Linked DNA regions of Drosophila melanogaster. The protein of the gene in region 2 interacts with the protein of the main gene of each other region in a pairwise test. Each region holds a gene or a part of one and is shown on either strand. Other genes may lie near its edges.

Region 1 (3,275 bases), about 12 Mb from region 2:
AACAAAAAATAAATAAATAAATAACAAAATACGAGTCCAGGAAACAACAACAAATCGTGCGGCTAACCATTCTGGATTGCACAATTAAAGGCTTAATTTATTTGGCCGGCAATTGATAGGCCGCAAACATTTAGATATCTCATATTCCTTTGCATTTCTGACAGCACATAAAGCAAAAATGCAAACCTACAAAACTGCCAACTGCCGACTGCTGACTCACTCGAATCCGAATCGATATTCTGGTGGTGTTTTGCATGAACCAACCTCAGTTCGTTTTTTACATCACTCTTTTCATGCTCGGCTGGGATTTGAAGGGCCTCGTCAAAGTTGTTGTTACTTGGGCTGTTTTAGTCGCTTTTGTTGTTGCTGGTGTAGCGTGTCAACTTTAATTGCAGTGGAAAACGGAGACGAAGTCGTTTATGGGGCACTTTTTTATGCCAGCACTTTGGCAAGGCTAGGGGGTCGATGTCTCCGCCAACACGAACTTGCTCCAAAATCGGAACCCAAAATATCATGGTCTATATTTAAGTGTTTCCAAAAAAAAAAAGTCAAGGGAACGTGAAAATAAAATGTGGGTTCTCGTGCTAAATTTGAATATTTCATTGTAATAGGTTACGAAAACGGAAAGTTACTACTATTATTATTAATATTTTTTATTCTTTGAATTTCAGCAGTTTTGAATACAGCCAAGAGACAATTTTAGCCCAAACGTTCCTTTTACAAATCACCCTATTCCTTTTGAATTTGCTCAATGAAATGATCCTGGAATCTTGGGATCTTCTCCACGTAACCGCTGAACTGCGTCTCCGGCTCTCGGCTGCTGAGGAAGACGAGTTTCTGGGCACAGAGCTTGTAGAGCCAAGGGATGTCCAAGTAGTTGCAGCCCTCCATGATTTTGCAAATGCTATCGATTTCCACGCGCAGGAACTCCTTGTCCCAATCGGAGATCTGCAGCTCAATCTCCTCGGCCGGAAGAGGATCTTTGCTGTCCACCCAGGCGGGCTCTTCGTGTTTCTCATGGTACTCAGCCCACAGCAAGATCTTCAGCAGGACATTGCTGTGTATACCGTGCAGCGGCAGGACGAAGTCCTCATCCTCTGGGACCTGGCCAACGCGGCACATCTCCCGGATCACCAAGGATTTCTCGAGCAGAGCCAGATTTACGCTTATCGTACGGCCATCCCTTGTCTCGAATCGCACCATTCTTGAACCGAATTTCGAATAACAAATTAAGAGCTTCGGATCAGAAAGTCAGGGCCTACTGCTTGCAATCAATACGAACTAAACCACAAACTTGTGCCTACTCTACCTCTGGAAATTGTTCAAATTGGAGTTCAATATCGAAATAAACCACCATCTGCTGTAATCACAAAGTTTCCAAGCGACCAACCAAAGCCATAACCTCCGCAACAAAGGCAGTGACAATGAAAGAGAAAAGTGTAAAGAAGGCGGCTAGCAAATGGCCAACGACAGCAGAATAATAAAATAAAAGTTAGTAAACAAACGGAGGGAGGGACAGTCTGAAATTCACTTGAAATAATTACAAGAACTTTTTACGTCCGACCTTGGCCATAATTTTGCTGGCCAAGCTTTTTCTCGAAAACGAAAAGCAAAAAAAAAACTCGAGACAAAAGCTGTGCTGTGTGTCAATGAGATACGTACCCATACAGGCGCACTCAGAAACCTGGCCCACAATGCAAACACACAATGCCAATGTTTTATTTCTAACGACGACTCTCTTCGGCACTGCGCTCTGCTCTGTTTTGTAATTTAATTAATATACAAAAAATGTTTTGTATTTCTCGAAATGCTAATTACGCACAATGCGAATGACAATGAAACCGCCGACTGGCGGCCATTTGTTGTTCGTTTTTTTTTTTTTTTGCCCCTTTTTATCCGTTAACAGCTGGCTTTATGGCATTATAAGAGCCCAAAGGTTATTTATATCGCACCGATTGATTGATGAGTTCTTGCACTTGGCATTGATCATATCTGCGGGTACTTACATCTGGCAGGCCCTGGCATATTGTGCTGCTGACCAGGAGGAGCGCTGTGAAAAGGACCAGTGGTGAGGACATCTTACTGCTTCGGCCGCCTAGGGTGCTAATATAATCCTTAAAAATGCTTAAACTGCAAAGAGACGAAGGGGAAACGAAAATTAAATAAATTAAATATTAATTATTATTAGCCACATCCCATTTGCCAATATATTCACGCAATGGGCCAGCATGCAAAGTATTTATTTCCCAAATAATGGTCTTACCACCTCACATGACCATTAGTTCCCTGCCCACAAACCCGTCCTGGTCATGCTCGAATGGACAGCACTGTGTTTGCAACGCGAGTACAGTTAGCATCTGTTGTTGCAACTCAAACGCCGCTTGCTGCTTCAATTAATATTTACTTTTAGTTTTGTAGAAAGAAACCTAGTTTTCTGGCCCGCTGGCCGAGTAATTAATTATTGCATAAGGCCAAGAAGCAGCCTCGAGGCATAAAACAATCTTGTGCTGCCCTGTTGATTGCTGTTTGTGCTGCCGTTGCAGTTGCAGTTGCACATCCGCCCGCCATCGAATGCGGCTAATTGTCAATAATGATGCAGCGATGCGTGGCGAGGGGGTAACAGCATCCATCCAACCTTTTGACAAACCAACCAAGAAAACAAACAGAACTGACCAGCGGCAACAAAGGCAGCAACAGCAGCAGCAGCAGCAACAGCCGCTTCACGTTGCCGTGTCGCAACTTCTCAGCGACATTTACGACAAATTGCATGACATTTTATATCCCAAAGGTTTTGCACAATTTGCATGCAACGTGCTGCAAGATCCGAACTGCCGTGGCCCACTTCGAGTGAAAGAAAGTCTCGCCGGCGAATCGATCATCATCAATCGTAATGAAATGTTCGGCTGAGCAATTGCCAAATGTGGGTGGTACCCAGCCCAAGGCCAATGCCCCAAGACACTTGCTCATGGATTGGCGAAAATTGTAGGTAAGCGCAAGGAAAGTTCACTTTTTCCTATTTCAGCCGGCGGGCAGGCAAAAATGAGAAAATGGAATCGATATTTTGAGTAAACATGGAAAGCGCTTCAAAACAAAAGACTTAGAACACGAACTTGAGCTTAGAAGCATGACAAGGAAGCTTGCAAGCCACGTTCAAAGATGTGTAGCTACAAATAAGTGTAAAATCTTCCAAATAATATGAAAACCATTTTGGCCAAAGGTCAACCGACTTTTGCCACCATGTAATGGCCGTCAGAAGTCCATAAGAAAAGCATCAA
Region 2 (3,761 bases):
CCACTTTGGTGGGGGGCAAACCCATCGAGCTGATGGGTGACGACATGGCCTCGACACAAACCCCTCCCGGACATGTAACCAAAACACTGATCAAGGAGAATACCCACATCGATTTGAGAGATCGTCTGTCGCACATGTACTCCATGCCCTCCAAATCGCTGTCCGCCTCGAAGATCTCGATTAATAGCGATTCTGCCTATATGCAGCACCATCGACGTGATAAGGAGCGCCATCGCGATCGCCAGCACCGGGAACGCCCCAGAGATCCTCTCCAGCAACAGCAGCAACTGCATCGCGAACATCTCATGAGCACGCACGCACGCAGTGTAGAGCACCTGAATCATTACAATGGGTAGGTTATTCGCGATTCTTCGAGATTCTTGTGTAGATGTTCTAGCAAAGACAGGCTTTTTCATAGATTTAAATTTTCCTGACTAATCTCCCCGATCTTCTTCGCCATTCCAGACTGGATCGTCGCCGAGACACGCCCCGACAAAGTGAGTCGAACACACTTCGAGCCCGCCTGCCCAGCGATATGAGGAGTGTAAAATCCCTGGATTTCGATAGCGAAAACGAATCGAAGCCTGCGACTGAGACGCGTACCACTAGACCCACTCCGCCCAAGAAACCCCTCCGGCTATCGCTGCAACGAGCCCAAAGTCTGCAGACCGTGGAGCTGCACCCCTGTGCGGATATCGAACGAAAGCGGCCCATGAAGAGGGTCCACCACAACAACAACAACAACAACAAAGGTGGAGAATCACCGACTGGAGAGGGCCAGACCATGCTCATCGAGAACTGCAGTCCCATGCACACGGCTTCCCTCGGCAGGCACAAGCTCATCTAGAAACCCGATCCCAATCCAACCAAAACTAATTGTTAATCGAAGTAGCTTAATCCTCGACCGATCCTAACCGGCGGTTAAACCCAAAAAACAGGCGGACATGTGCAAAATTACAGTAGGCAATATAATTTTAACCAGCTCCCAAGTGGAAAGTTTCTTATTATGTAGTAGCAGTAGTATGTACTTACATTCTATATCTTGTATAAGTAGGGCTTGGCTATCAACATTTAGTATTGAGAGAATCAATAATTAAGAGTTTTTGTATGTACGATGATTTTATTAGCACAATTTACAAATGTGAATACACGAATATTTTCACCTACTTAAATGCGTTATTTATTTAAAAAATTCGATCCCGGCCTGCTATAAATGTGATGTAACTACAATTTCATGGCATCGGTTGGCATATCAGAAGCTATTACCTGGCAACTCATTTTCAAAGAATTTGTAGCAGTAGTTCTTCAAATTGCTTCGCCGTATCTGGAAAGCATGCCAATATTTACGACCTCCATTGTAGGCACGAGCCTGGCACATATTTTATGACGCCACAGTGATAAGGTATTCAAATGAAAAGCACGTTAGCGTGTTTCAGCTGCGCTTTTAGTAAGTTCAAAGAATTACTTAATAGCTATAATTTGGATATAATTAAAAAAAAGGCCGTTAATAGGATAATAAATATATCATCAGAGCTGGACAAAAGAATCTGATCAATCTGCAGTTGATAAAAAAAACTCAACGAGGGAGATAGAGCGATAGAGCGGTGAAGTAAGCCCGAGATAAACCTGAGAGCGGAACTCTCGCCTACGCGATCGTGCTGACCGCCAAATGCAATATCCGCCGCTCCACCTGGTGGCGCTCTCAATTCTCAATTCTGCGGTCTTCTTGCTCTCGCCAAATCTGCCCCAATGTTCTCTCAGCGAGTCGATTTGCGATGGCAATGCCAGAGGCTCGAAACAGTTCCGTCGCAGGTTTCCAACGGTACAGAGGTGCAATCGCTTAATTCTCGCAAAAAACAATCAGTACCCAATTATAAAATAGTTGCTAACAAGGTGAGTTTGCAACGGACGCGAAAAAAAAGAAGATCAAGGGCTAGTAATCGAGAATATTGGGTGAAGGTTAAGCTGAAGTTGAAGTTACTTGAGTTAATTGTAATTGTTAATTGTTCATAATTTATTGGTTTGCTTACATTTTAGAACCTGATTTAGATATATTACCCACAATTGCGTGTTACCAAAAAGAAACCAGTTACCGCAAAAACGGAGTTTACTTCACTGATTTTTGATTCTCTCATTCACTGTCCGCTCACCCTTGAGTGGGTTAAGGTAACCAGTTATTAATCCAGAAAAATGAGTGGGCAAAAATGCAGCACAGACCAGACACAAAATATTGTACATATCCATTACAATCCACACATTCCACGGCTTAAAACTTCAATAAACATTTAAATTCCCAATCGTGAACAGTTGGTTGAACAAGTGTTTACGATATTCTATCTTTTCATATATGTAAAATTATGGCTTGTTCTTATCTCAAAACTGCATAGCTTCGGCGTTTAAATTAGACGCGAAGTCTCTGTGTGTGAAATCAAGTAATCTTGGCTGTATTGTTTGCAAATTCACGAAGAGAGCCCTGCGATCAAATTGTTCAGATAAGCATCTTCATTAGCATATCGTTTCACGGTAAAACTCAAACTGAGTTATTATTTTCAAATCAATCATATTTAATCAGCAAGCAAGAGCCCTAATAAACCTTATTTGATGGACAAGCAGTGGCTATTAGTTGCAATTTGTGACCCATTTCGTGACAGTTTGAACCAGAATAAGTAAATACCTGGCAAAAAACAGATTAAAATACTTATACGTAATGACAATGGCATTTTTAGTTCCGAAATTCAGTCGCTCTACGAGCGTGAGAATCGTAAATTATGGGACCGATTCCAAGTGCAGATAAGGATACGTGTGTAGAGCAGGTACTGACCGCGTTTGAAGATCGTTTCAGAACTCGAGCGTGCAAGATCGCCAGCATATCGCAGACACATTGATAAGACCGTAAGGAAACCGGACCCATAAACAAATATTGCCCCGATAAAGTGTGACACCCATCCATTTCATTTGTGGAACTTTGGAAGCGAAGTGCGTACGAAAAAGAGATTGTTGATTGACCTTCCCGCAGCCGCACTTAACCCTGTGAAAAAGGCTGTTTGCATTTAGTTTCGTTTGGGTATCGCTCATTATTCACACACATAAATAATAATACCCGTTCGCACATCATATATGACCCACAAATCGTTTCATAAATTGAGGCTAGGCGCTTCAATTCCGCACACAACTGTCCGTTTAAATGGAATCAAGAGAATGTACACCTGATGACGTCCAAGCCAGAGATGAGCTGGAATTCAAGTGCCAGAGATGAGTTGGCATCACGGAATTTGAGATTACAAGACATAAACCCTCCTAGCATTTCCCAAAACTGAAAGTATTTGGTTCCAAATCATTTAAAGCTTTACTATAAAGCATTATATAAATAGTTTTGGAAGATGTTTTTAATATTGAGTCCATATCAATTATCGAAATTTCAGGATTATCATTTAGTTCATTTTTAGCTATGTCCAGTAGATCATCCCTGGTGGGATTTTCTCTGCTTGTGCCACTCAATTTAAAATTATTTATTTATAGACATTTAAACATTTCTAACATTTGCTATCCGAGTCGTACACGTGTCTAATTTAACTATGATTTCCTTGCAGTTCAAAATGATGCAATATCTTGTTGTTAGCCTGGCACTCTGTGCCACAATTTGCTCTGCTGCGCAGACGGTAAGATATATAATCTCGTTAATTTGAAAATCCACTTATAATTAGGACACTGAACTTACTTTGCAGCGCAATATGCCCATTCAAGCCATTGCCTATCTGATT

What was found. The genes of interacting proteins can lie anywhere in the genome.
Region 1: the proteins of Sod3 (region 2) and CG15800 interact in a two-hybrid assay, tested with the Drosophila melanogaster proteins (one large-scale study listed by BioGRID).

Annotation. Positions count from the first base shown.
Region 1 is NT_033778.4:23,789,990-23,793,264, forward strand, and holds CG15800 (uncharacterized protein), read right to left. Parts: upstream 1,239-3,275; 5' UTR 1,204-1,238; coding exon 730-1,203; 3' UTR 625-729; downstream 1-624. Other genes in the region: sona (sol narae), read right to left, coding at 2,007-2,078.
Region 2 is NT_033778.4:11,382,147-11,385,907, reverse strand, and holds the start of Sod3 (superoxide dismutase 3), read left to right. Parts: upstream 1-1,793; 5' UTR 1,794-1,893; intron 1,894-2,832; exon of another isoform or gene 2,833-2,976; intron 2,977-3,590; 5' UTR 3,591-3,596; coding exon 3,597-3,659; intron 3,660-3,725; coding exon 3,726-3,761. Other genes in the region: sprt (sprite), read left to right, coding at 1-352, 466-847. UniProt on the Drosophila melanogaster protein: Protects the extracellular space from the toxic effects of reactive oxygen intermediates by converting superoxide radicals into hydrogen peroxide and oxygen.